4 linked regions of the Struthio camelus genome follow. The protein of the gene in region 1 interacts with the protein of each later gene in a biochemical or structural test. Links are inferred from orthologs where the notes say so. Each region holds a gene or a part of one and is shown in the gene's direction. Other genes may lie near its edges. The genes, in order: HSPB1, MAPKAPK2, MAPKAPK5 and CS.

What was found.
Region 2: of the proteins of HSPB1 (region 1) and MAPKAPK2, one has a biochemical effect on the other in vitro, tested with the Homo sapiens proteins (17 studies listed by BioGRID and IntAct, with this or other methods). The link is inferred for Struthio camelus from reciprocal best matches to the Homo sapiens genes HSPB1 and MAPKAPK2.
Region 3: of the proteins of HSPB1 (region 1) and MAPKAPK5, one has a biochemical effect on the other in vitro, tested with the Homo sapiens proteins (4 studies listed by BioGRID and IntAct). The link is inferred for Struthio camelus from reciprocal best matches to the Homo sapiens genes HSPB1 and MAPKAPK5.
Region 4: the proteins of HSPB1 (region 1) and CS form a complex in vitro, tested with the Homo sapiens proteins (2 studies listed by BioGRID). The link is inferred for Struthio camelus from reciprocal best matches to the Homo sapiens genes HSPB1 and CS.

Annotation. Positions count from the first base shown.
Region 1 is NC_090957.1:14,555,469-14,562,256, reverse strand, and holds HSPB1 (heat shock protein beta-1), read left to right. Parts: upstream 1-4,255; 5' UTR 4,256-4,645; coding exon 4,646-5,006; intron 5,007-5,661; coding exon 5,662-5,725; intron 5,726-5,943; coding exon 5,944-6,112; 3' UTR 6,113-6,278; downstream 6,279-6,788. UniProt on the Homo sapiens protein: Small heat shock protein which functions as a molecular chaperone probably maintaining denatured proteins in a folding-competent state. Plays a role in stress resistance and actin organization.
Region 2 is NC_090965.1:7,856,388-7,863,645, forward strand, and holds the start of MAPKAPK2 (MAP kinase-activated protein kinase 2), read left to right. Parts: upstream 1-4,253; 5' UTR 4,254-6,232; coding exon 6,233-6,509; intron 6,510-6,651; exon of another isoform or gene 6,652-6,666; coding exon of another isoform or gene 6,667-6,742; coding exon 6,743-6,927; intron 6,928-7,258. UniProt on the Homo sapiens protein: Stress-activated serine/threonine-protein kinase involved in cytokine production, endocytosis, reorganization of the cytoskeleton, cell migration, cell cycle control, chromatin remodeling, DNA damage response and transcriptional regulation.
Region 3 is NC_090958.1:18,348,341-18,355,295, forward strand, and holds the start of MAPKAPK5 (MAP kinase-activated protein kinase 5), read left to right. Parts: upstream 1-3,937; 5' UTR 3,938-3,993; coding exon 3,994-4,029; intron 4,030-6,955. Other genes in the region: ALDH2 (aldehyde dehydrogenase, mitochondrial), read left to right, coding at 70-234, 560-717, 1,489-1,603, 2,155-2,187. UniProt on the Homo sapiens protein: Tumor suppressor serine/threonine-protein kinase involved in mTORC1 signaling and post-transcriptional regulation. Phosphorylates FOXO3, ERK3/MAPK6, ERK4/MAPK4, HSP27/HSPB1, p53/TP53 and RHEB.
Region 4 is NC_090969.1:473,453-480,406, forward strand, and holds the start of CS (citrate synthase, mitochondrial), read left to right. Parts: upstream 1-3,938; 5' UTR 3,939-4,002; coding exon 4,003-4,056; intron 4,057-6,438; coding exon 6,439-6,486; intron 6,487-6,623; coding exon 6,624-6,731; intron 6,732-6,872; coding exon 6,873-6,938; intron 6,939-6,954. Other genes in the region: CNPY2 (protein canopy homolog 2), read left to right, coding at 62-177, 363-560, 873-969, 2,231-2,274. UniProt on the Homo sapiens protein: Key enzyme of the Krebs tricarboxylic acid cycle which catalyzes the synthesis of citrate from acetyl coenzyme A and oxaloacetate.

The DNA of each region.
Region 1 (6,788 bases):
GTACAGCCCTCACTGAAGGCTTCGACTCCCTTTCTGGATGATGCTGCCACTGGTTGCCCTTCGTTGGCATATGTGGGGTAGCTGCAATTCAGGGTGGTGAAGGACACAGGTGAGCAGGACACAGCAGTGCAGAGCAGGCAGGATCTGCCCCAGCCACTATGGCCACTTTTGGCTCCCGGTCCCGTTGCCTCCCCTCTCTCAGCCTAGGCCAGGCAGTTGCTGAAGCTCCTTGAGCAGCAGCAGGACACAGCTTGGATGTCAGCTTAGGTTCCAAAAAGAGAGGGAGGAGGGTCCCGTGAGTATGGGACTTTGCTGAGAAGCGGCAGAGCTGGGATGCTAGCTGGTAGCCCTGGTTTTGCAGAGCTTTCCTTCTGTTGATTTTCCAAAAAGCTCTTCTCAGCTGCCCAGGAGCTGAGGACGGCAGGAGGGCTTGCTCCTGCATGACAGCACCCTGGGGCTGTTTGCATTTAATCTGCATGGGCCACGCATTTTCTGCCTCACTGGAGAAAGACGATACAGATGAGCCTCCTTTGGTGGAGAGAGCAGCTGCCCGGATTAACCCATTGCCCCCAGATTGAAAGCTGGGCTTTGTCAATCTCTCTTGACATTAGTTTCCAGCCTGCCTGGCTGGCTCGAGGGGATTGGTAGGACCAGGTCATCCTTTTTGAATCCTGCTCAGCCTATAATGCAAAGGCTTTGTTAGTCCATGGCTACTGCATGATGAATTGAAGGTCTCAGGAGGCAGGAATATGAGTTAAGCCAGGATTGCATCTGGGGCCGGCCGCTGCTGTGCAGGGCGGGGGTGGTCACGGTTTGCCCAGCCAGCAGAGTCCCTTGTACTCCCCTTTCCAAAACTGCCACTGGAGAAACGGAGCCAAATTGAGAAACAGAGGAGTCAGGCTGGGAGGATAGAGAGGGGCCTGCATTTGGGGTTGGGTGATGGAGGTGCTCCAGGGCACCTGGGGCCAAGCAGGGTGGGATGAAAGGGGGAGGGTCTGGGCACAGCTGTTTGGTACGGAGACAAGAGCCTCAGGTTCATCTTCCAAGCCCAGCACAGGCTGCTTTGAGAAACTGGCTCCTTCTAGGCAGGCAGTGACTAATGTTTGTGCTGAGGCCAGGACAATTCACCAGACCTTGGAGAACTATCTCCAAGGCTTGGATCATCTCCTGAGCCAAGCTCCGTGGTTTCACAGCCTGTCTCTCCATGCAGCCAGTCCTGCTGCACTTGCTCAGCTAGCAGACCCTCTTCCCCCGCTGGAGGTGGCTGCTGTCTGCAGCAAAATTTGCTTCCTGGCAAATGTTCCTTTGTGCGAGGACGTGACAAAGCCTCACAGATACCTCCCAGAGGTGCTGAAGGTTGGGCAGGGACCAGGGAGAGACGGGGCCTCATTGCGATTCCAGGCTGGTGCGCCTGATCTGGAAAGGAGCTGAACCAATTGCCCAGAAAAGAAAAGCAATTAGAAATGGATTTAACAGGTAAGAAGGAGAAACGATTGTGTTTCTCAATTGCTTGGCTTGTTCCAGCATATTAACCTGAAAGCCCCGGGCAGGGCAGCACCCCGGCAGCGTGCTGGGGCACACGGTCCGGCCGGGCGCAGGTGGCAGGAGTGCCGTGGCATAACCCCTCGCTTCCCTGCGCAGGGCTCCCTGGCTGGGACGGGGCGTTCCCGGGGCGCTGGCGACCGTGGCGGCTGCGGACCAGCTTGCCCCAGCTGTCTGTGGGCCTGGCCTGCCCGATGTCCCGAGATGCCCCGTTGCAAAGCTGGAGAAGGGGGTGCAGTGGGCCTGGGCGATGCAGAGACAAGGGTGAGCCGCAAGGGCTCGTAGGGATGATGTTTCTGCAAGCCACAGCGTGGCAGCCCCGGGCAGCACAGCACGGTCGGGCCGTGCCTTGCCCTCCCCGGTCCCTGTGGGTTTCCTGCGCGGTGCCCTGCTGGCACCGTGGCTCGTCTCCTCCTTGCAGCCCCCCCAGCCCCGCCAGCATCTCCTGGACAGGTTGCGGGGGCGTTTTGCACCCGCTCGCCCGCTGCGCTGGAGCAGGGGCAGCCTCAGCTGTGGGCTCCTGCTGCCGCCTTGCACCGGTCTCAGACTGCCTGTGGGAGCCCCAAAATGCCTGATCGAGACAAAAAAAAAAAAATCAGAGTTTGAACCACTGGAGAGGGTTTATTTTGTGGCATTTTTACACCAGCCTGAGGAGGGCCGTTGCCAGCCCCCGACAAGGCGCCTAGGTTGGACACACACTGTGCCAGCAACCCCGTGCGCCCCAAAACGCTGCAATTTTGGCCTCTTCTCCCTCTTCACCCCCCTCCTGAGCAGAGGCAGCGGCCGGGGAGCGGGGTGGGGGGCTCTGCCGCCTGCACGCCCCCCCAACCCCAGCGCCTGTCCCCGGCGGTGGTGTCCCCGAGCCCCCCCGCCAGCCCGAGTCCTGCTCTGCGACAGCAACCCGGCTGCAGCGCCAGCACCGACAAAGACAGCACATCAGGGAAAATTTCCAGTCTTCCTCTTTTACAGTCCCTGTCTCCTGCCCGCGGAGGGAGCTAACTGGAACAAATACTCCGCAGGAATACTTCAGTGTTTTCCTCGCGCGCGCGCGCTCTCTCTTGGGTTTTTTTTTTTTTTTTTTTTCCGGATTGTGAGTACAGCTGTAGATTCGGTGAGCTGGTTCAGTTATAATAAAACATACAGTATATATTGTAAATGACTCTGCCGGGCCCGGAGCAGGTTGTTGTCAGCGAGGCCGCGGCGCGGGGGCTGGCACGGCGTTAACCCCGCTGTCTCGCCGCAGCCCTTCCCGGGCTCCGGCGCTCTGTCCTCTGCCTCCCTGCTCGGCCTCCGCGTCCCCCCCCACCCCGCCGCCCCGTCGCGCTCCCTCCTCGCCTCCCTCCCATCCGCGCGGCCCCTCCGGCGCCTACCGCCTCCCCCCGTCCCCACGGGGCTCCCTGCCAGCTCCCCGGCAGGATGCGGCCCTCCGCATCCAGCTCTACCCGATTCGGCTGCTTTTATCCATTCCCCCCCCCCACCAATTCTGCGTGGTTTCCATGGCAACACGCCGGCTCTCCCAGCAGCTCCCCTTCCCCAAACAAAAGGGTTTGCCAGCGGCTGCAGCATGTGGAGGTGGGTGCTGGCACCCCACTGCGGTGGTCATGGGGGGACCCCCCCCTCCTTCCCCTTCCCCAAAATCTGCACCCCTGCCAGGGCATCCCCCCCTCTCCGGTCATCACCACGGCCCCATCAGTGCCCTGCGTCCTGCTGGGAGGGGATCTCTGTGTTCGTGCATCCCTGCAGTGAGTGCATCAGGTCTCAGCTACACCCCTTCCCCTGGTGTCGGCCGGGGACAGGCCGCTGGGCGAGAGCCTCCTTCCCGCCGCCCTGGCCTCACCCCTCGTCGGGCCCCGGGACCTGGTTTTCTGGGGCTGCCATGAACTGATTCATAGGCAGAATATGGGTCAAAATATGGGACGAAGAGGCGAAATTTTAGCGCTGGGCCTCAAAAGCAAAGGGCTGAGGCTGCAGCGAGCTGGGAGGGGAGTTGGGGGTGGGGGGAGGAATGAAAAGGTGGCCTGAGGTTGAAGTCCAAGCTCAGCCCTGGGGAGGCACCTCCCCGGCGGGGGGCTGCCGGGGGGGGGGGGGCCTGGAAGGTCCCGCTGGATTTGGGAAGGGGATGGGGGGGGGGGGGTCTCGGCATCGCTCTCCAGGCGGCAGGCAGGCCTCCCTGGCTGGAGGGTGAACGTGAGGGCAAAGGGCTCCGGGAGGGAGCCGTCCTCCCCTTGTCCCGGAGCGGCCACCACCCCCCTCAGCCCCCATCGCTCTCCATCAGCCCCACTGGCCGCAAGTGCCCCCGTTGGGCCTTCCGAGCCCCCGGCAGCCCCCGTTAGTCTCCTTTGGCCCCCGTCAAGCCCCATCGGCCCTCATGGCGCCTCATCTACCTGCACTGACCCCTCACTGGGCCCCATCAGCCCCACCAACCCCTTCTGGCGCCCATCAGCCTCCACCGGCCCCGGTTAACCCCCATCAGCCCCACCAGCCCCTACTGGCCCCATGAGCTGTCACCAGCCCCTGTCACCCCCCCCGTCAACCGCCGGCAGCCCCCGGCAGCCCCTCCTGGGGCCGGGACTGTCCCCCCCCCGGCCGCCTCGGACAGAGCCGGCTGGCTTTAGGGGCGCCGTGCCGCGGCCGGGAGGGCAGCAGCACGGCTGCCGGCCGGGCCGCCGCCGGCCTCCGACGCTCCAGAAGCTTCTGGCAGCGGCAGCGCCGGGGGGGAGGGGGGGGCGGCTGCTGGCTGAGGCCCCGGCGCGCCGCGCTGCCTCCCGCCGCCCTGCCAGGTTTTTTTAACGGGAGAGGCCGGGAGCAGCGGCCTGCCGGGGCGCGGGGAGGCCGCGGGGTGCCGGGGCACTGGCGGCTGTGCGCGGCCGCTCCGGCCTGGGAAAGTTGGCAGCGCCGGCTTCCTCCTCCTCCTCCTCCTCCTCCCCCCCCGCCTCCTCGGCCCTCCTCCGGCCGCTTCTCGGCCCTTCCCGGCCCCTGCTGCAATTTCCATTAATAGCCAGCTGAGATGCCTGGCTAAAAATAACCGCCCGCCCTCTTCATAAGGCCCCCGGCGCCGCCCCGGCAGGAGCCGCAGCCCCGGCAGCCCTCCGCACCGTGCAACATGGCCGAGCGCCGCGTGCCCTTCACCTTCCTGCGCAGCCCCAGCTGGGACCCCTTCCGGGACTGGTACCACGGCAGCCGCCTCTTCGACCAGTCCTTCGGGATGCCCCACATCCCCGAGGACTGGTACAAGTGGCCGAGCGGCAGCGCCTGGCCGGGCTACTACCGGCTGCTGCCCAGCGAGAGCCCGCTGGTGCCCGCGGCGGGCTCGGCCTACGGCCGGGCGCTCACCCGGCAGCTCAGCAGCGGCATCTCCGAGATCCGCCACACCGCCGACAGCTGGAAGGTCACCCTGGACGTCAACCACTTCGCCCCCGAAGAGCTGGTGGTCAAGACCAAGGACAACATCGTGGAGATCACCGGTGAGTCCTCGCCGCGCGGCAGCGGCCGGTTTCGCTGGCCGAGCGAGCGGAGGGAAGCGGCGGGGCGACGGTGTGGGCAGCTGGGGGCTGGCGGCCGTGGCCGGCCCCGTGCGTTTACCCCCCACCCCGCAGCGCCGGCGGGGTCCGGGCTGCGGTCCCCCAGCCGGTGGGATTTGGGCGCCCCGCTCGAGGCCTTGGGGCCAGCTGGGGTGCAGAGCTGGGCTGCCACCCCTGCAGCCGGGTTTGGTCCCCGCTGCCAGGAGCAGCTCGCGGCCCTGGGATTCGGGGACGTCCCCGTGGAGGCCCAGTCCCCCGTGCTGGGGATGCAGGAAGGGGAGGGCAGCCCAGGAAACCCCCCGCTGCCATTGCACAGCGCCGCTCCGGCCTGCTGTCAAGGCAGAGAAACCCACTGCCTGTCGCCTTGTGCCCGTCCCTGGCTCGGTGGGGAGCAAAGGTGAATCCCCCGTGCCGTCCCCCCCGCAGCACCCGTCCCACTCCTGCCTGGCCAGGGGGGGCCACCTGGCCCCCCGCCTCCCCGAGGCACCGCACCAGGGTGCTGCCCTGGGCATGGTGGACCCTTGAATGCAGAGGCCTTTCCCGCCGCGGTGCCCCGCCAGCAGGCTTCACCCTGTCCTGGCTTTTCTTTTTCTTCCAGGGAAACACGAGGAGAAGCAGGATGAACACGGCTTCATCTCCCGCTGCTTCACCCGAAAATACACGTAAGTGCCAGAGTGAGACAGGACCCTGGCAGCCCCTGACCCCTTTGGGCACCTCTCCCATCCACCAGGTCCTGCCCCATCCCCTCTGGTGCCTCCTCTGGGCGAGCTGGGGTTGTTGCTAGCCCAAACGGGGAGGACCGTAGCCAAAAAAAATTGGGGCTGTGAAAAGCCCCGGGGCCGGGGCCTCACGGTGCTGACCCCCGCTCTCCTGCCCGCAGCCTCCCGCCCGGCGTCGACGCCACGGCCGTGCGCTCCTCCCTCTCCCCGGACGGCATGCTCACTGTGGAAGCGCCCCTGCCCAAGCCGGCCATCCAGTCCGCTGAAATCACCATCCCCGTCACCGTCGAGAGCCAAGGCAAGAAAGCAGAGGAGCCAGCCAAGAAGTAGCCGGAACCGAGGAGAAGGAGGGAGAGAAGCCGCTGCCTGCGCCGCTGCCCTGCACAAAATAGCTCCTCACGCCACCCCCCGCTTTCATCCCCCTTTTTACTCTGTATTTTGTACTCACCCCATCACTGCGTGTCTCAAATAAAGGAGAAGAAAAAAGTAGAATCAATCGGAATAAACAGCCATGAAATAAAGCCGCCTGGTGCCCTGCGTCCCGTGGGCAGCAGGCCTGGTGGGCTGGGACCCGTGCCGCGGGGGCACCGGGCTGGGACCCGTGCCGTGGGCGCCTGGGCTCCCCTCCGGCACGGCTGACTGAGCTGGTGGTGCTGGCCATGACGGGGCACGTGTGGGTGTTGCCGGGGTCCAGCACAGCTTTTGGATGGGGCACAGACCCTGCCTGCACTCACGCCTTCCCCATCCTCTGATATCCCGGGTCTCCAATATCCCAGGTCTCCAATATCCCACATAGCCAATATCCCATGTCTCCATTATCCTGGGTCTCCAAGATCCTTGGTCTCAACATCCCAGGAAGTCTCTGACATCCTGGGCCCCTGATATCCCAGGTCTCAGTATCCAACATCTCCATTATCTTAGGTCTCCAAGATCCTTGGTCTCAACATCCCAGGTCCCCAATATCCCAGGTCTCTGACATCCTGGGCCCCTGATATCCCAGGTCTCA
Region 2 (7,258 bases), on another chromosome or scaffold:
ATGTGATGGGAAACGTACAGGAATGGCAGTAAGCTTTATAAATAGTCTTCGATGATTTTTTTTTTCTATTAAACTCAGACCAGCCTGTGATGCATCATGCACACTGCTAATTATGTCTAAGTAGCTGCAGCTGATAAGACGGTCCTTGTGAAATCCGTTCCCAGCTTCTGGTCTTCGTCCCTCGCTCGTTCCTGCGTAGCGGCAAAGTCACGAGGAGCCGGGGCCACTTTCCGAAAGTTGCTCTGAGCGCTGCTGCGAAGGGCCCTTGTGCTTCGACCTTTGTGCGGAAGCAGTTCAGGCTTTTTTTTGTCAGCCCGTTTGCCGCGTTTCCCTGTCGGTGCCTACGGGCATCCGTGATGCAGGAAAGGGCAGCGCAGATGCTGCCGCCTCGCTCCTGGAGCTGCCCGGAGCGGAGCGCCCAGCCGGCCGCCCCTGACGGCCCTCGGCGGCCCCAGTGGTTTTCCACCGCGCCAAAAAGCAGTACAATCCCGGCAGCCCCCGGCCCCTGCCGGGAACGGGCCCGTCCGGCTCTCGAGCGTGGGTTGGTGCCGCTCACGGGGACGGTCCGCGCTGGCCTTGCTGCTCCGAGGCCACAGAACATGCCTTGAACGTCCCCCAGGTTGGGGCGTCTCTCCTTACCCCGCGGCGTGGCTGGCCTCGTGCCGAGGCCTCTCGTCGCTCCCTCGGTGGCGTTCGGGGAGCCCTTGCCCCCTCTGCAGCAGGCCAGCCTGCATCTGCACCTGGGCAGTCCGCGTTGCAAACGAGGCCTGATTGCTGGTTATTGGCAACCAGTGCCATTAACGGCAGCGGCGGCCGTGCAGGGGCGAGGGCTGTGTGCAGAGCTCCTTGCTCTGCGGCTTGCCCGTGGTGGGACCCTCAGCACGGTGTTTTCCTCCGGTTGTGGATCGTGGGTAAGCTGAGCTGTTTGATTTTGGCTATACAACGCCCCGGGTCTATGCACTAGCCTGCAGGCAGCGGTCCCCGCCGTGGGGGCGGTTTGTTCGGCTTGTAGCCTTGAACATGCAATTAAAAGCTGGCTGGGAGCTGAGCTGCCCTGTGCAAGGGATGCTGAGAGCCACCGGCCGCGTCGGGGTGGCCCGGGAGCGCCGGCACGGGGGCGGCCTGGCCCGGACCGTGTGGGTCCTGCGGGATTAGGGCCGGCCCGGGGAGCTGCTTGTGCTAACGGAGCTGATCTCCATAATCTTGTTGCACAGACGCCTCCTCCCCCTTGGCAGGACAGCGGGGATTTGGGGCCACGCGTATGCGGCAAACAGAGCAGCAGATAGGGGGGGTTTGCAGGATTAACGTGTTGTCCGCTGGCGACCCAAACGTGTGGGAGCAGTTTTTATCCCAAACTCCTGAGGGTCTCGGTCTGCTCTGAAATCCGGCTTCCTTGCTGTACTGGCACGGCTGTGAATTTGCTTAGGGGGAAAAGAAAAAAGGAAAAAAAAGAAATCTGTGCTTGGAAAAGCGAGGGGAAGGCTAGAGGAGGCACGATGCCCGCTGCGGGCCTGTCCCCGCGCTCAGGTGCGCGCCAGGCAGCACCTGGCATTTGCCTGCAAGCTTCGTTTTCCTGTGTGCGATCCGTGTTTCCACTTGCCAGCTGGAATACGTCCTCGTCTAAGCAAATGATGTTTAAAGACCTGTATTTCTGAGTGGTGCTGTTTTGTGACCCTGAGTAAGGAAGTACGTTTAGCATTATCTTGTGGGCAGTGAATCAGGATTCAGTTTCCTATTAGAGATGGAAAAATCCCGATGTTACAGAGAAAAGCAACGTAGCAGGTCAGCGCTGGTGGCCTCTGCTCATTTTTAATGGGCTGCACGCTCCCTGGAGACGGCGGGAGCGGGGCCCGAGCTGGCCGTGTGCAGCGTATAAGCAAGGACTGAGAATCCGCCCCGTGGATATTGGAGCAGGAACGTAGTCTTGCGTAAGAAAGGACTTTGCGCTGGCCTGTTATTAAACGAGAGAGCCCTCAGGAGGGCCCGGGACCGCGTGGTGCTCTGTCCTTCCCCGCTCTGCGCGTTCCCCTGCGAGCCAGGGGCGAGGGGGAAAACCCCTGTAGCCGTCACTCGAGCGGATAATCCCGAGCGTTGCCTCCTGGCAAGTCTCGCGATTAGGAGCTCCGTGTGCTGGGTGGAGCGGGTCCAGCGTGCCGGGCTCGGGGAGCCGTCCCGCCGGGCATGCGAGCAATGCCGGGGCCGGCCAGAGCGCTAATCCGCCGGGGCAGCCGAGCCCGGGAGCCGCCCGCCCGCTTCCCCCCGCGGGGACCCCTTGCTCCTTCCCGCCGCCTTTCACCCTACGGGACCGTGCCGCGCGCTGTAAACGCATAGGCACAAACCGTGCCCGAGGGCCGCGGGATGCATCCCAAGCCCTGGGATGCGGCCGTTCGGAGACGGGAGCGACGCGCTTCAGGGAGGGATGCCGGCTGGGGGGCTGCGCGGAGCCCGGCCCCGCGCGCGGGCCGCCCGCGCCGTCGGAGGGGCTCTGGGCCGCCCGCGCCGGCACAGGCAAGGCTGGCAGCGCTTCGCTTCCGCTGCTGCCTCCTGAGCTTGTTGCGGCGCTCCCGTTGCTTTAACAGCAGCGTTAGTAGCTGTAATGGGGATTAACAATATCTTTCCAACTCAATTACCCCTATCCTAAAAGCATGCAGGATTATTTAAACGCATTATCATTTTTTTAAGTGGGATAGCTTTCCACCAGTGCCGTGCTCGTACCAATCTACCCGGGGAGAAGAACAGGATGCATGCAGCCTTAATGATCATTACCCTAATCTTCCAGGTCTATTTTTCTGGGTAACTCCGCTATAATCAAATAACCATCTAGTTTGTTACTCGCCAGGGAAAGAGCTTGAGCAGATCAGCCGCTGTGTCACGTAGATACAAAGGCTGAGCCTGCACTGGCTGCTTCCTGTTCCCTGACGGAGATGGGAAAGGAAGCGGGGAAAAGCTCCCCCTCGGCAGCCGCCTAATTGTCCTGCGGGCCCAGGAGCGGCGTGGCGGGCGCCGCGTGCCCCGAGCCGCTCTCGTGAACCCGTCACGGGCACAAACGCCGCGGAGAGGGGCCGGGAGGAGGCTGGGGGGGGAAGGAAAAGTTGGGCCTGAGACCACCGCCTGCGAAGGCGCTGCTCTGGGCGGACGGGCTGCCCGTCTGGGGGCTCCCAGAAGTCGCTACCTGCCGATCTAGCCCAGCGCGCCACAGGGTTTTGCATGTTTGCACTGTCATCTTCCAGCAGGCTGTTTGCAGCGGGGGGGGGGGGGGGTGTTTAATCACAGAGACGCTGATGCTACAGGTGGCAGAGATCAGTTACACCCCCGGCCCACACCCCAGCGGCAAGGGCAGGTTATCCACCCCTGCACAGGAGCAATCTCAAACCCCGGACAGAGGCTCTGGAGAGAGAGAGATATATATGTATGTATCTATCTATAATATATATTTAAAATGTGTAAATGTGCAAATAATATATATTTAAAATGTGCAAAATATAGATATATGCATATCTATATTTTTAGTAGCAAAGGCTGAAGTACCGGGATCTCCTGGTGGGGCGTGCAGAAGGGGTTGCTCCCACGGTGGACCCAGGCCGCCCGCTCGGGAGCGGGTGAACGCCGGAGGGTCTCCGCGTCCCGCCGCTCCCAGAAATCCCCGGGGAGGCGGACGGCTCGGGGCTGCCGGGGCTGTGCCTTGGGGCTTAGGTATAGCCGACGGACGGATTGTAATGGGTTGCTGGAGGACCTGAAAACAGCCCCCCCCCCCCCCCCCCCCCGAACGCGAGGAGCGTCCTGTTCCCAGACGGTGCGGGGACACGGCGGGCCGCGGGGGCCACCTGGTGGCCGCGCACCCAGCTCGGGCCGGGGGCTCGGCAGCCGCGGCGCTGCCGCCCCCGGTCCCCGCCGGCGCTTGCCTGCACCTGGCAGACGCGCTCTCTGCCTTGCGGTCATGCCTGCACGGAAGCAAAATATCCTCCTCCTTCTTTTTTTTTAAGCTTTTTTTTTTTTTCGTTCTTTCCCCAAAAGCCCAGTGCCTGCGTGTATCTCCATCAGCACCAGTCTCATGGCGCAGAGGGAGGCCGAAAAGGGGCCTCCCGGTCCCTCTCCTTGCTAAACCTACGTCTCTGGGCTACGCCAGCTCCTGGCCCGGGGCACGCATCCTGGTGCCTCCCCTGGCAGGAAAGGGGCTAAAAGCCGTGCCGGGCATGCAGGCGGGTTAAAACCCCCGGAGGGGGGAATTGAGAGGGATGGACAGTGCGACACTAAGCAAGCCATTTCATTTCTTTCTACCCACCGCAACCCAATCTGTAAAACAGAGAAAAACTGTCCTTCCTGCCCATCTACCTTATGCGTAGCGTAGTTGGTGTCCAAGCTTTTGGAGGGCAAGGGTTGTCCTTTCCTACTTCCATTAATGGCACGCAGCACATTGGTGCCCTGACCTCAGCTGAGCAATCGAGGAGGTTTCCATGGGAAACCTGGGAAATGGGGCTTCCAGACCGTATATATCCTTTAAAGTGTTGTTTATCTTTGAAATAGTTGAAGGACTGGATTACAAAGTAAACATGAGTGAAAGCAGAGGAAACAGAGTAGCAACGTGGGTCAACGGTTTTCCTTTGCCCACAAATTCTTCTGTGAAGAAAAACTTGGCCTTAAAGGTTAATTTCCACAGACATGCTGAAACGGGCCGAGTAAAGAGAAGGAAACGGTGGGAAAACCCTGCAAAGCGTGCCGGCAGCTTTAAAACATCTTTGCTCTCTATGAGCCGTTGCTAGAAAGCAGCGGGCTCTAACTCCTGCCCCAAGCCGCCTTGTGAGCAGGGCTCGGGTCCTGGGAGACGCTGCCACGTCCCGGAGCTGATCCGGTTTCCCAGGAGGAAAATCACTTTCCACAACGGCCCCCGAGGCGCTGGGGACTTCAGAGGGAACCTCGGGTCCCGAAGCAGGGAGTGCCCCTTGTTCGGGGCGAGTTGTTTGTGGCGCTGCCGGGCGATGGAGGTCGGCTCACTCCTCCTTCCATCTGGCGACTGTCGCTGCCACCTCCTGACGGCCGCTCGGCCTCTCCCTGAGACGACGTGCTCTCGTTAGCAGAGTCTGCTGTTCCATCCAACTATTGATCAGTGGTTCTGTTAAGACGCTGGCTTTCGGAAAGCATGAGCTGACCTTTTTATACTTACTTGACTAAGTAAAATCCTAAATAAATCCTAAATAAAAGGATTTTATTGATTGCAGGAGGTGGTTGGGAGACACGGACCAGATGTGTCCTGCTCCGGTACGAGTGCCTCTCCCTGTGGTGGACGTGCCCGTAGAGGTCACGGTTTGCTCTGCTGTCCTGCCCCTTTTGGGTGCTAGATGTTTTCTTTCTCCCAGTGGCAGTCGCTTCTGGAGGACTCGGTGTGGCTCTGGCATGCTGTAGGCCTGGTATGATGTGTTCTCTCTCATGAATGCTTAAGCCGGTTTCTTCTGCTATTGCTTTCTGTTAGTCAAAAATAGAAAACAAAACGTTGAGGATAGAGGGAAGTCCTGTTTCCATGGCTTGTTTTTCCCTGGGGACCCCTGTGAACTTGCAGACGTCGGTATGGATGAATGGGGTTGGTGGCTTTTACCACATTGATGCGTGTCCACCAGGACCCTCCATCAGTGCGTTTCAGAGGGGCCTCCAGAGCTCTTTGCCTTTGGCACCTTTGACGGCAGTGAGATCTGTGCAGGTGAATGGTTCGAATCTGCGGTCCCAGCAGACCTGCTGATCACCGCTTGATCCGTGCCAGGCAGCGCTGCGGGTCCTGCTTCCCCTCCCTGAGCCAGCACATCCGTCGCTTGCTGGTGGCCATGCAGTGCAGGGGTGCGTGTGCGGATGTGCACAAAACAGCCTGCCAAAATATCACTGCCTGGGCCGCAGGAAATTATTCCAGACTCTGCTGTTTGCTTCTAGTGTTGCTCTGGGCATGTTTCTGTCTTCCTCCAGGTCGCATTCATTGCTTTTTGTGGGAGAGCCAGGTAATATGGGAATGAATGTCATAAAAGTGCGTTCATTAGTTAGAAAACGAGGATTATTAGTGACGAGCAGGCTGTCCGCTTTGTGTTAAAAACCTTGACTTGCCGTTTTGCTGCAGCTGAAGGAGAGTCCCCTGGGTTTTGCTGGCTGCCCGGCAGTTCAGCCACGAACCAGCCAGGATCTGTTAGCCCAGCTTAGCTTCTGCCTCGCCTTCTGGGTTGAACACGGCAATGGGGCTTAACTTCTCATCAGAATGCTTCTTTTGTTGCTGTTGCCTTTTTTTTTCCCCCCTCTTTCTCTCTCTTCCGGGACGGTTTCCCATCCCTCGCCTTTGCCCTGGCGCCCGGTGGGCACGGCAGCCTGCGCCCGCCCCGTCGCGTCCCTCCCCCGGCGGCCGGGCCGGCCGCGGCGAGGCGCTGACATCAGAGCCGAGCCGCGCCGCGCCGCGCCGGCGGCGGCAGCAGCAGGAGGCGGAGGAGGAGGAGGCGGAGGAGGAGCCCGAGCCCGCCGCACCGGAGCGATTCCTCTTCCCGTCGCGGCTCTCGGGGCCGGGGCGCACCGGCGGGGGGCGGCGGCGGCTTCTCCTCCTCCTCCTCCTCCGTCGTCCGCTCCTCCCGGGGCTTCCGCGGGGCTCGGCCGGGCTCGGAGGCGCCGCCGCTGCCGGGCCGCGGCCCGCCGCCGCCCGCCATGCTGCCCGGGGCGCCGCCGCCGCCCGCCGCCTTCCCCAGCCCGCCGCCGCCGCAGCCGCCGCCGCCGCCGCCCGCCGCCCCCCCCCACGGGCCGCCGCCGCCGCCGTTCCCGCCGTTCCCGGGCAAGGCCGGCCTCCAGATCCGGAAGAATGCCATCACGGACGACTACAAGGTCACCACGCAAGTGCTGGGGCTCGGCATCAACGGGAAAGTTTTGGAGATCTTCAGCAAGAAGAGCGGCGAGAAGTTCGCCCTTAAGGTGCGCGCCGGGAGCGGGGCCGGGAGCGGGGCCGGGGCGCAGCGCAGCCGCCGGGCAGCGGGGGGAGCCGCCGCCGCCGCCGCCCCGGGAGCCCCCGGCGGCACCGTCCGCCCCGCTGCTTCTCCCCAAATCTCCGCGGCGTAGTAGTGTTTCTACTTCTTTTTCTTTCTTTTTTTTTTTTTCTCCTCTTTCTTTTAATATTTTTTTTGGGGGGGGGGGAGAGGGGGGGTTGTCCCGAGCGGCTGCGGAAAGGGGAAGGAGAAACTCGGCAGCAACAGTTCCTGCCTGACAGCGATGGAACATGTCCGCTGGCGGCTCGCGTGCGCCCGGG
Region 3 (6,955 bases), on another chromosome or scaffold:
GGTTGCAGTAGAATTCTCTTTCACCCCCAGGAAAGATGAAGCTGATCTGTCTGTCTGAATGGCTTCTAGGTAGATGAGGAGCAGTTTAAGAAGATACTTGGTTACATTAATACTGGGAAGCGTGAAGGAGCCAAACTGCTATGTGGTGGCAATCCTGCTGCAGACAGAGGCTATTTCATCCAGCCAACTGTCTTTGGAGACGTGCAGGACAACATGACGATTGCCAGAGAGGAGGTGAGACCTGCAGCATCTTTCTGTCAGCTTCTCACTTCTTTTCATTTTGCCCCTTCTGATGCAAAAAGAAACAGCTCTACAAGTACTAGACATTCATGAGCTGCAAGTGGAAATAGGAACTCAGTGCTTCTTAGAAGGTTACCACAGCAAGCTACACTCCAGATTACATCTTGGCTGCTTTGTAATACTGGAAGTGACCGCACTGATACTTTGAATTTGACCTCCTATGTAACTTCTAACATGCATACATAACTCCAGCATCAACCACAGCCTGCCCTGGGATCGATTTACACAGATTTTCATGTGATCTGTTTGGATTTTTTAGATATTTGGGCCAGTCATGCAGATCCTGAAGTTCAAAACAATCGAGGAAGTAATTGAGAGAGCAAATGACTCCCAGTACGGTCTAGCAGCAGCAGTCTTTACAAAAGATCTTGACAAAGCAAACTATGTGTCTCAGGCACTGCGAGCGGGAACAGTTTGGTGAGCCTCGACACTTCCTCCTTCTCTCTAAACTGCCAGAAGCTTTCCTCTATGTTGTGATTTCTCATTCAAGCTTACTCTTTGATAGCTTGTCTTTTCTTCAGATCCAATTTTACATGTACTTCACTGAATATAACGCCAGACCTTGAATTTTAATGCCAACTTTTGGTAAAATTTAGGTATATTGAGCTTCCACGAGCCTCCTGGGAATTAATGAATGGCGTGGGAAAAAAGTTCCAGTACTAGAGTTTGCCAAGACGGCAACTACTACTGGGCTTTGAGTGCCAGTAGTGATTAGATCATGAGCGTGTCTGTGCAATTTTGGCTGCTACAATTGCTGGTACTTTGTGTCGGAGACTATGCTAAAGGCAATACTTCGAACACCAGTTTACTGTTCCAGCACGTGCAGTTTTGGACATCAGTATCTCAGTGTTTGGTAGCAAGTAAACTTGAATGGTACTAAGTGAAGTACATGCTTGATATCTGTCCTTAAAAGGAGATGTGGGTGGCAACCTGGACGCTTGGTCCTATGATATGAGAGATATTAATTGGTTTCATGATCTTTTGTTTCCTGATTGACGATCGGGAAACTGTTTTGTCCTGATTAAGGGTCCGGTATTCTTGATCAACTCTGTTGGCTTGGCAGTCTAACAGATGGAAATTCAGTTGCACCTCTCTTGTAAACAACTGAGATGTCTGTTTGCTGAGAAAGGACTTTTCCGTTAAGCAGTCCTGAAACTATAGATGCTTAACAGTTTATTTCCTTTTCAGGATAAATTGTTATAATGTGTTCGGTGCACAAGCCCCATTTGGTGGCTACAAAGCATCTGGGAATGGGCGAGAGCTGGGAGAATATGGTCTTGATGCATACATAGAGGTGAAAAGTGTGAGTATCCAGGTATCTGAGTACTTCCCAACTGTCTGCTGTACTGCCAAATTGTATATGAGCCTGTTGGTATAAGCTGGCTTGAGACTGCAATTCTTCTTTCTAATGCTTGAAACAAATTTGGAGCTGCACTTCTAAATAACTGCAAACAAAACTCCATGTAACTGTATGCAAACAGAAAGCTAGTCTTGTTTCGTACTGCTGAGGAAAATAAGGATATGTGACCTAATTCCACAGTTGGAATAAAACTTAGGGGTCTTAGTTACCAGTTGCCTGCACCGCTTGGCCCTGTCTTCAAGTGATCACTTTAGCTGTTTCTTACTGTAAAGAATGTAAGTGTATTGACTCCTTTGTGAATTTATTTTGTGGAGAACAGAATTCCTCCCTAAGGAGCGTGTGCCGGGAATGCACTGGCTGTAGGGAACAGTGTTTATACTGGCGTCTGGTTCTTGTTCTCCCCTGCGTAATGCTGCTCCTCTCTGCTCGCCAGTGAACAAAACTGAGCCCTGTCTCCAGTTACAGGAAACTAACTTGTGACATTTCTTTTCCAGGTGACAATCAAAATTCCACAGAAAAACTCATAAAGGACAGTAGTTTCTCCATGCATTTGACCTACGCAGCTTCAGGAGATACAAAGCAAGGAACCCTCTTCTTAAGATACACAAAACTTAGGTGGAGAACATGTCACTCCACACGTAACTTCTAAAGAAATGATTCTGTAGAAGGTGCCTGAAGGAGCTTTTGTTTAAAAAATTACTTGGCTTTAACCTGTTAAAATACCAAATACAGGCAATTGAGTACTAATGCATTACACAAGCCTACTCTTGTTGCACCTGGATCTAAGAATGTGCTTTTTTAAAGAAAAATGCTTGTCTAATCTGCAGGAGGCTTTTTAGTAGCCTTCATAGCTAGCTGCATGAGCAAACAGCTACTCCTTAACCTGTACACCTACATCCCTCTTCCGTAAGCAAAATGGACTGAGAACCAATTGTGTAATGTAGGACGGTAACATCTCAGCATGAATTTGTGAAGTAAAAGTCTGTTCTCAGCTGCTTGTATCTGCTCTCACTGTATCTACTCATAATAAAACAGTCTTCTCTCAGTACAGTTAGTCTTAAATTTTGCTGCAGTTTTTTTGTCTGTGAATGAAGCAGAAACTCAAGTATATGGACACGTTCGTATTTTCTTCCACACATCGATGCTCTAAACTCGGGCAACTTTTAAGGTTTTTCACTGGCTTTCCGTGTCTTGGCAAGTGCCTTTCAGAAAGTGTGCTGGAGCTGCGCTGAGAGTCGCTTTTATCTTGCGGGAACTAGATTTAACTCCTGAAATGTCAACGCTTAAGAGCTATATTGTGCAAATCAGGAGGGCTGGAAGCCGGGTATGCTATGAGGGGGAGGTGTCCTCCTTCGGTGCCGAAGGGCGCTGGGGTGATACGGTAAGAGAGGCTTCTTCAGGCTTGCTCTCCTCTCCCCCGTCCCCGAGGAGAGCTGGGCCCGCGGCTCCGACCGCCCTGGCCGAGGCGGTGGCGGCCACAGCAGAGAGCCGCCGCCGCCGCCGCTGCCGCGCCGCCGCGCACGCCGCGCTGCCTCCCCTCAGGCGGCCAGCGACCGTTATCACCTCAGGGCGGCGCGAGACCGCGCGCACCCCGAACTCCCGCGAGGCTTCGCGTCACCCCGCTCTCGCGAGCTCTCCCGATGGTGGGCGGGGCCCGGTGGGGCGGGGCTAAGAGGCAGGCGCTGGCCCCGCCCCTCCAAGGGAGCTTTGCTCCCGCCCCCGGTGTAACGTCATCAGAAGGCGCCCGCGGCAGGAAGGCCCCGCTGGGGGGCTTTGCCGGCTGAGTCGCGCCCTGAGGGGCGGCGGCGGACGCCTGTAAACGACGCGGCCGCCGCCGCGGAGCCTCCTAAAATTCTCCGGCCGGAGCGGGGGGGAGGCGGGAGGCCCGGGCCGGCTCCTCGCGCCGTGCGCGGCGGCGGCGGCAGCGCGGCGGTGGGGCGCGCCGCCCGGCGGGTGTGCCCCGCTCAGGGTGCCGGCAATGCCTGGCTCCCGGGCGGCGGCGGTGGCGGCGACGCCTCGGCGGCGGCGGCTCCCGGGCTGAGCGGCGGCTCTGGGCCCGCCCGCGCCCTCGCAGCGGCGCTGCCCCGCCTCCGCGCGGGCTCCTGGCCCCGCTCCCCCCCCCCCTCCTCCCCGGCCCGGCCGGCTGGCGATGAGGCGCTGCGGCGGCGGCACAAAGGCTCCTCCGGGGCTGCCCGTTGCCTAGCGCGCCCCGGTGCCCCCGGCCCGGCCCCGCCGCCGCCGCCGCCTCCCTCCCCGCCGCGCCGGCCCTCGGCCCCCCGCGGCCCTCGCCGGGGGCGGCGCCCGGCCCCCGCCGCCCGGGCCGCCGCGGGAGGATGTCGGAGGCTCACGAGATGGACAAGACGATCAAGGTAGGGCGCGGGCGGGCGGCCGGTGCCGCGCGGCGGGGCGGCGCGTCCCGGGGGCTCTGCCGGCTGCGGGGGCAGCTCTGCCGCCTCGGTGCCTCCCCGCCTTCCCGTTCGGGCGCTGTCATGAAAACAAATGTGGGTGTTTGCGTTTGGAGGGGTGGCAGAGCAGCTCCGCCGATCCAGGCTTTGCCTTTCCCCCCCCCCCCCCCCCAAATTTTGTTCCTTTGAACAGCAAGAATCGCTGTATGAGCTTAACGCTTCCTGGTGAATCCTTCTGTGACCCGACTGAGCGGGTTCCCTGAGGAAAGCAGGGGGACCGTCTTGACAGTAAAACAATGTGTTAAAGACTCTGCAAGTTTATCTTGCACAAAATGTTCCCGGTCGCAGATTCTGGTTGCCTTAATAAATACTTAAATTAATAAGGCAAATGAATTCTAGAAAAAGGTAGATTAAAAAAGAGCTAATGTATTGGAGTTTGACTTTTTTCCTTCATCTGTGTTATCTTTGGCTGTGGGATTTATCCCGTATGTAGCTCACTGAGGTGAAAAAGGGATGTTGAAATTCAGTCCTATATTGCTGAACTCTACATTGATTAGAAGTGTACGGGCCTTGCTTTTTTGAAATGAAAAAGCCAAAAGTGGAAGGGAGTCTAGGCATAACGTTTCGGCACTCCAAATTGTGAGGAAACTACTGGGTCAAGTACCAGAGTGGTGTACTGAGCCCTCCCACTTTGTTATCAGTCTTAGCACAGTGCAGGTGAAACAGCTGTCCAGAAGGCTTTCCGAGTGAGTGTTCTGTCAAGTACTTCAGTGATATTTCATGAAAAGATAATGATTTATATCATAGCTCTTGATTTACAACAAACAAGGAAAGCCACTGTCCTGCAGGGGTAGGGACAGCCTCCTATCTGCCTTGCTCCCCTCGCTCTGGAGGATGCTGGCTAAGAACAGGTTCTGGGTGAACGTTTTGGGTGACAGGCACTGTCCGAATCGGAGATATAATTTAGTCTGTTTAAACATCATGTTGATTCCTCTGTTCTGCTAATGTTCAGTTATTGTTTCAAGTTTGGTTGGTTTGCATCTGCATCTGCAGGTTTAAGTTCTGTGATTCGAGACTGTGATCACCGTTTAATGTGAACTAGCAGAAGTTGAAAGGCCAACAGTTTAGCAGAGGAGAACCAGTTACGTTGATTATTTGCATATCACTTGTTGAATATGTGGCATTTGTCCAAATGGCAGTCTATATACTTTTAATCAACTTTAAGAATGTGTTATTGTTCTTGAAGTACTTTTATGTCATACCTTTTTCCACTGGGATTCAGTGGAAACCGAGAAGCACCTGAACTTTCCGCTGAGCAGGCCTGAGGCATGCTGAGCTGTGTGTCTGAAAACAGCTTCTCTGTTGTTGATCAACTTAGGAGAAACTGCATTCCTAGCTTTCCAAACCATTGCCATCCCAGACAAATGATCCTGCGTGAGAGGATACCCAAACCATTGGTTTAGGCACCGTGAGCTTTTGAAAGGGAATTGTGCTATTGAAGAGTGTTGAACTTGTAGAATTTGTGTGTGTGGTTTTTTTTTTCAGTTGAATACATTTCAAATCAATTTATTCCTTTTCCCCAGTGGAAATTAGTGTAAGGAATGATCTTTAAATTCCTACACTAGTAGCTGCACAAAAGTTTACAGTAAGAAAATTACACCACTGCCTGTTCTTTTGCTTTTTGTTTGTTTGTTTTCCCCCTGGAAGTGTGCTCTCCAGCACTCTTCTGCCTCCTCTATTCCCAGCCTCAGCAGATTAGTTCCAGCTGACCTGTCAGCCAGTTTACAAGTTCAGTGCTGTGCAGCAGTGCTACTGTAAGGCACGCTATTTTCCAGATGTGGAGCTAAGTACAGAATACGGGGCCTTCTGCTACCTGCATCCATAGTGCATTACCCTAAATGGGAAGGCAAGGCATTTAGGCTTAATCAATTGAAATAGATTTTAATATTTTCAGAGGGCAAATTTATATTTGTACGTTTTAAAAATTTCATGCTGTTTGAATGTTAGGAACACATGTTGATTTGCAGCTAAATACAGTCTTGATGCTAGACTCAGAACTTGCATTTGTGAGCTAGAAGGAGTTTAGCCAACTCCATAGATTAGTATATATTAAAGTTCACAAGTTATATATTTCCTATCATTAGGAGATGGTGAATAATGTTTCTTCATGACTTTTTCTTTCTTTTTTTTTTTTTTTTTTGCTTCTAAGTTGTCAAGCTGCCTTTGAATAAATAAATTATAAAAATGCAGAAAACAGTGAACTTTGGCTTTCTTATTTAAACCACTGTTAAAAGCCCAGAATATGCAGGAGGAAATAAATTAACTTTAATTAAAAATGGACTTACTATTTGTAGTTGTTGACCTTACCCTTCAGGTGCTGAGAAATATCAGATCTTCTCTCCCTCCTTTTGGTTCATAGATCACAAACTTGCCAATTCCTAATCAGCTCCTCTGTTACTAGGGTTCAACTTGCTCAGTCCAAACGGAAAAAATGGTCTCTCTGCCATAGCAGAAGTCAAGCCCAGGCTTGTATGTATAGACAGTATCTCTTTTTAGACTTACCTGTATAGTTGAAAAGGTTAGGTAAGTTTTAGGGTGGGTATGCAGGCCCTTCATTTTTGAAACAAGAGCAACAGACTTCAAAGCTACATAAAAAATAATTTAAAAATTGTCATTTAATCAAGATGTGGTTCCAGAGTGCTTTGGCATTAGCTTCTCCAGTTCAGTGGTTGGACTTTCTTCAAACTTGGACAGTAAGTGCAATCCCGAAAGCGTGTCCTGGGAATGTACTTCACATTTCAGAAGAACCTTTTCTCAGCTTATAATGTACTTCTAAAATTGTATTTTCATTGCACCTGTGAGGATTTCAATTCTCTGTATCTGAATAGCA
Region 4 (6,954 bases), on another chromosome or scaffold:
AGTTCAGGGTCAGTTAATTGTCCTTAGCGCTCCAAGCCAGTGACTTCTCCGTTGTCTGCAGCATGCCGGGCCTTGGTGGATGAGCTGGAGTGGGAAATCGCCCAGGTTGACCCCAAGAAAACCATCCAGATGGGCTCGTTCCGGATCAACCCTGACGGCAGCCAGTCAGTCGTGGAGGTGAGGCGTCTCCCAGTTGGGGTGTGCTTCTGGCTCGGGGGGTGGTTTCAGGCCGAGGCTGCGGGAGAAGAGGGAGTTGGCTGTTAGCAAGGCCTGACCAGAATAGCAGCTGCATGGTAAAGACTCGGGGAGATTAGGGAGGGGTTGGACTAGTGTTTCCCGCTTATCTTATCCTTGTGCCGCAGGTGCCCTATGCCCGGTCAGAGGCGCATCTGACAGAACTGCTGGAGCGGGTGTGCGAGAAGATGAAGGAATACGGGGAGAAAGTGGATCCATCCACACACCGGAAGACTTATGTCCGCGTGATCTCCCATGATGGGACCAAGATGGACCTCTCCGGGGTCAAAATCGATGGGGATGTGGCTTCTAGTCTGAAGTTTGCGGTATGTGCGGGGAGCGTGCCCTGTGCAGTGTCTGTTGGGGCTCCAGGGAGGCTTTAGGTAACCAGGCCCACTGGGTTTGGCAGCCGCAGTCCTTCTGGGATGAAGCAGCTGGTCTCACTGGCAGCTCCTGGCCACCTCCCCTGACCCTTTCCAGAGCTGGGAAGGGAGGGATTCTGCTCCCCTGTTGAGGTGGGGAGTGCTGGGTGCAGGGCCTGGCTCTGGGTTCCCCTGGATGCTGGTCAGCTTTGCCTGGCCCTGCGCGGTCGCTGGCATGGAGGCAGCCAGGCGACCGACACGGGGCTCCCGTTGCAGTGTGAGAGCATTGCCGAGGAGTACGAGGACGAACTCATCGAATTCCTGTCCCACGAGGCTGAGAACGTCAAGGACCGGCTCTGCAGCAAGCGGACAGGTGAGTCGGGCTGGGGCATCCTGGGGAGGGGGCTTGTCCGCTCTCTGTCCATCCGTCCGTCCGTCCCTTGTGAGGCAGCAGAGCCCTGAGGGTAGAAGACACTTCTGGCTGCTCAGGGTCATCTCTGGGGCACCCCCCTCCTTTGGCCGCATAGGGGAGTAAAAGGACTGCCCCTTCTCTGAGGTTCCCACCTCGGGCTTTCTGTTCCCATTCCTGCTGGCCAGGCCCCTTTTTTCCTTGTATTTAGGTGAAATTTTCTGGAAAGCAAGTCAGTGCCAGCGGGCAAGGGCTGGGATCCAGCCCTCGGACCCACAGCGCAGCCCCGTCGCCAGGCCAGGAGCCTGGTGTCTGCATGCGAGGCCCCAGCCGCCCGTGCTGCCTGCCCAGAGCCTGAGTCCCAAAGCCTCTTTGATCTGCCTGCAGCTTTTTTTGGATGCTCAGCGCCGGCCAGGCCCACGTGCTCTGGGAGGGAGCCAGGACGGCAGCTGCCCCACAGGCCCCTGCGCCCGCGGCTCCATTGGCTGCTCGGGCTCAGGGCTCCTTTCACAGCCAATTGCCAGGTGCTCCCCACAGGGCATTTCCCTTTCCTTCCCGCAGAGCTATTTCTAGCTGGCAAACAGAGGGCTTAGGGCACGCTGTGACCTTTGTGCTTTGCTATTAATGGACGTGGTCCGCGTTCGTTACCTGCACCGAGGCTGCAGGGCTGGGCAGGTCCCTCCCGTACCTCCGCACTGGCAGAGGGCAAAATCCTCCTGCCCAAGCAGGGCCCCGTTTTGGGGGCACCGTGTTCATGCGCCACTGGCAGCTGTTTCCAGCTCAGCCCCCCCGGGCCTGGTGCACGTGGCCAGTGTCCTGCCTACCTTGAAGCTGGAGCAGGTCTGTTGTGCTGCTCCTGCTGGCGGTTCCAGGTGAAAAGCCGGGCCGACAGCTCTGTCCAAACAGCTGCGTTTCTCATTAACCAGAGAACAAAGCAGGAGGGGGGCGCAGGCGTCCCCTCGCGCGGGTCGCGGCTGTGCCAGTTGCTCCCTGGCCCTGCCCGGGCCAGGCGCTCTGCACATGACTTCTCCCTTGCCCCTTGGCTGTCGGCAGGCGTTTGGCAGCGCTGTCACTGCGCAGCTGGGGAAAGGCTCCCCCGATGTGCCTCGGTCCTGGGGGTGGATGCACCTTGGCCCTCCTGGGGCCGTCGCGCCCCAGCACCCAGCCCATGAGCCGGGACTGGGATCTCTCCTCTCCTGAGAGCGCCTGGCCTTTGTCGCTGCAGACCTGTGCGACCACGCGCTCCACATCCCTCACGACGAGCTGTGACGCGGCTGCCCCTCGCTGCCTCGGACCAACCGGACCAACGCCTCCCTGACCGTCCCCCCGCTGCCAGCAGCGCCCGAGGGGCCCCCCGAGACCTGCCTGGAGACACGAGCTGTCCCCGGGGCGGACAGCGCGACGCGAGCTTCGTCCGTAGCTGACGTTCGTAGCCGTCGGGGAGGAAGGTCGTCCCCTACCTCTTTAGTTTACCTTTTCTGTGCCCACTTCTCTCCCCCCTCCCGAGGGAGGCGGACAGACGTGCCCCAAGGAAGACTGCGGCTCTGGAGCTGGGCGCAGACGTCTCTCCTAGTCTGGTGCTTTCTCGTCCTATTTATTTTACTGTCTGTCGACTGTAAGTGTGGCGCTGGGAGGGTCGGCAGGGAGCGCAGGGGGGACTCCCACCGCCCGCTCCAGCTCTCCAGCAGGGAGGACCCCTGGGCCCCGGGAGGCTGGAGCCCTGCCCCAAGGCCTTGTTCCTAACAGGAACGTTTCAGTGGCTGCTGGGGGCCAGGGCTCCGGGCTTCCCCGCTGCTCCTGCGGCTTCTCCGTGACCGTGGGCACACTGCTCCGTTCCCGTGTCTCCAGGCAGGCTCCGAGCAAGGGACCGTCCTCTGCTGCCCTGTGAGGGGCCGCAGCCAGGGCTGGTGCCGCACGGGTGAACGCGGCCGGGGCCACCGGAGCAGCCCGTCACCAGGGCTGGGTTTGTTCACCGCCTGTTTTTTAAGAGCCTCTTTCCAGGCTGCAGGGCAATAAAGAGTGGCCGCGTGGCGGCCGATCTTGCTCCCGTGTGTGTGGGTGTCCCGTGGCTGCTAGGGGCCGGGCGGTGCGGCAGCTCCCGCGGGAGGTGTCACGCAGCGGGACGTCCCCGGGCAGCAGCACCCGCAGCCCACTCGGAGAGGCTGATGAAAGCCCTGCTCCGCTCTGCCCGTCCCCGGCCGGGCTGCCGCGGGGGTCCCGGCCCCCGGCCCTGCCCCGCCGCCTCAGCCCACATGGCGCGTCCGCCCCACGTCACCTCGGCCCAGGGTTGCGGCGGCCGAGTGACAGCGCCCGCTGCCAGCGCCGCCGGGGCAATGTCCGGCCGCGGCCCCGGGGTCACGCGCGGCCGTGCCCGGCCTGGCCCTGCCCCACGTGCCGGGGCTGGGGACGGCGAGCGCGGGACCGCCGGCCCCTCGTCCGCCGATAACACCCGGAGCGGCGGGAGGTCACAGGGTGGCTGCGTCCCGCGGTGATGTCACGGGTGGGTGACGTCACTGGGCCCTGGTGACCTCACTGCACGCGGCACCATCGCGTGGATGCTGTCACAGGCGACATCACGGGGTGGCCTGGTGCAGCATCGGGGTGATAGCGAGCCCCAAACGGGCTCTGAGGGGTGACGTCGGGGCATGACGTCACCCGCAGCGGCCGGGTGGCGTCACGGGAGGGGGCGGGGCGGGACTGCCGGGCGCGCCCCGGCACCGCCCGCGGATCAGGCGAACGCGGTGGCCACCTATAGGCCGGCCCCCGCCGCCTCATTTGCCTATCCCCGCCCCGCCGCGCGCGGCGCGGCCAATCGCGAGGGGCCCGTCCCCGAGGGGGCGGGCGGGGGCGGTGCTATGCTAATAACCTACGCAGCGCCGCGCCGCGCCCCGCCCCGCCCGCCGCGCCGAGGACCCCCCGGCCGCCGCCGCCGCCGCTCGCACCCGCCGCCGGCCCCGGCCCCGCTCCCGGCCCCGCTCCCGGCCCGCCCCGCCCGCCATGACGCTCCTGGCCGCCGGCAGCCGGGCGGCCGCGCGCCTCCGCGGCCCCAAGGTGAGGGGCGCGGGCCGCGCCGCGCCTTAAAGGGGCGACGCCGCGGGGGGGGGCGGTGGCGCCCCGGGGGGCCCACTCTTAAAGGGGCGAGGCCTTAAAGGGGCCGCGCCGGGCGGGGGGGGGGGCGGCACGTGGCGCCGCCAGCGGCCGCGCTTTGTCCGCCCCGGCGGGGGGCGGCCCCCCCCCCGCTCCCGGTGTGCCAGCCCCCGGCGGGCTGCGGGCGATGCTTGTCGCCCCCTCCCCCGGTTATTCGGGGGGGGGTTGGGGGTGTGTGCCCTGCTGCAGGCCCCGCTGGGGGGGGGGCTCGGGGGCTCCCGGCCGTGCTTGCAGCCCCCGTTTTGGGAGGGGGCATCTGGGCTGCTTTCCCTGCCGTGTTTGCAACGCCCCCCTTCTTTATTGGGGGGGCTCCGGGGGGGCTCCCTGCCCTGTCGCATCCCTCACTGGGGGCTTCCCCCCAAAAGGGGGGGTTCCCCCCAAATATTTGCCCCCACCGTATGAAGAGGGCTCGGGGTGCTCCTTGCTGTCTTTGCAACCTGCCTTTTGGGGACTCCCTGCCCCCCCCCAATGCGGGGCACCATGCTGCACCCCCCCCCCGGTATTTAGGGGAGAGGTGGGTGCAGGGGGGTCCCGGCCCCATGGCGGGGGCTGCCGGCCCCATGGCGGGGGCTGCCGGCCCGCCGCGGCCTTCCCCGCCGCCCGCGCCGTAGAGGACATGGGGGTCACGCCGGGGGGGGCCCTCGCGGGGGGCTCCGGCCCCGGCCCCGGGTGGGGGGCAGCCCCCCGGCCGGCCCCCGCAGGAAACGCGCCGGAGCCGGCCGGGACCTTCAGCCCGTTCGCCTTGGCCTCGGCCCCGGCGGTTTCGTAACAGCGGCCGCAGCGTTTCCATCGACCGCCGCTTTATTTTGGGACTCTGTCGCTCCCCGGCCCTGGCCGTGTCGTGGTGTCCCACTTGGCCCCCGCGCCGGGCCGGGCCGGGCGGCCCCGCTCCTCCGCCGGCCGCCCGCGTCGCCAGCGCCAGCCCGGGCGGTCGAGGGTCGGACGGGCCGGGCGACCGCAGCCAGACCGGCCCCTTTCGCCGCCGGGTCCCGGCCCGTCCCGCCGTTCGCACGGGTGACCTTGACCGCGCGGCGCCTCCGCCGCTCCGCAGGCCGCGGGTCCGGCCCGGGGGGGCTCTGGCCCCGCGCCCCCCACTGCCGCCGCCGGCTCTGTTGTTTCCAGGCCCCTTTCCGTGTTTTTCCCTCTCGGCGCGACGCAGCCCGTCCCCGTGCTGAATAACGGGCGCGCTTCCCCCGAGCGGCTCGGCGCTCGCGCGGGGCGGGGGGCTCGGCCGCGGCCCCCCGCAGCGCTGCCCTCCCTCCCTCCCCGGACCCCAGGGGAGAAACGAGTCGCGTGGCTGCGCGGCTGCCAGCGTCTCCGGAGGCCCCGCTCGCGCCGCGGAGGCGCCCGGAGCCGGACGCCCGCTCCCGCTCCGCCGGGAGGCTCGGCCGCGCCGCGGGGCCCGGCGGCGTCCCGGGGGGCTCTGCAGGGCGCAGGGAGGACGAGGCGCGATGCCAGGCCCGGAGCTCGCCGGCCTCGTCGGGGGCTGGCCAGGCCGGAGTCCCCGCGTTTGACTTGGCGCTGAGCAGAGATCGTTTTATTTCTTTATTTATCTATTTATTTATTTATTTCCTCGCTGGAAAGCCGCCAAGCCGGGGCGGGGGGATTGCAGCGCCGGCGCGCAGGAAGGCCGCTGCGGTTTCGCTCCGGCGGCCGCGCGTTGTCGGCGGCGCAGGCCGCCCCGTGCCCTTGCAGCCTGCGCGTTTCCACCTCTGGTCCAGGCGCCGGGAAGCGAAACGCCGGATGGGTTTTGCTTCCCGCTGCCGAGTCGCGCAACGCGCTCTGCAGCGGTTCCTGCTCCGGACTCGGTCGTGCCGGGTTTGCCCCTGGTTTGGCGGAGCCGCAGCCCGCGCCGTGCACGAGCGAAACGCCGCGGCGCGGGAAGGGGAAGGGGCCGGGGAAGCGGCTGCGCGCCCGGCGGCTCCCCTCCCCCTGCGCGCTTGGCAGCCGGCAACGAGCCCAGCGAAACCTGTTTGGGTTTGATCTCCCCCGTGCGCCAGTGGGCGTAGAGAAGCCGCGGCTCCGGTTGCAGGGCGTAGCGTCCTTGCGAGACGGCGGCTGTCACGGGGCTCTGCCTGCGGCAGCCGCAGCTGCGGGGGCAGCCTGGGCCCCGCCGGGGGATGCTCCCGCAGGATGCGTCCGGGGGTTCGCGGGCTCTGTCGGGTGCTCGGATCCTGTTTACACTCTAAAAGCGTTACAGAAACGGGGCAAGTTGGCTGCTCGAGCAGGGCGCTCGGCCCCTTTTTCCCTGGTAACGCTTAAATCCCCGTGTCTGCTCCCCCACAGAACGCGCCATGCGTCCTCTTCGCGGCCCGTCACGCCAGTGCCGCCACGGTAAGAGCAGATCCCGCCTTTGCTGCGACCCCTTTGCCCCTGCGGGGCAGAGGCCGGGCGAGGGGGGCAGGCAGTGAGCCCGCGCCCCGGGACGGGCCAGACTCGCTCACGGCTCCGCTGCCTCCCCTCCGGCCCAGAACCTGAAGGACGTCCTGGCCAACATGATCCCCAAGGAGCAGGCGAAGATCAAGAGCTTCAGGCAGCAGCACGGCAGCACGGCCATCGGGCAGATCACGGTGGACATGGTGAGCGGCGGGGGCGGCCGGGCCGCGCTGCCTTCCCCGGGGGGGGCCGCGTCCCTCCGGCGTGCGGCTGCGGCGCCCGGCTGGGTCGGGGAGCCGGGCTGTCCCCAGCGCCGTTAACTGCCCCCGCCTGCTCTCCTGCAGGTCTACGGCGGCATGAGAGGCATGAAGGGGCTAATATACGAGACCTCGGTGCTGGACCCGGATGAGGTAAGGCCTGATCCTG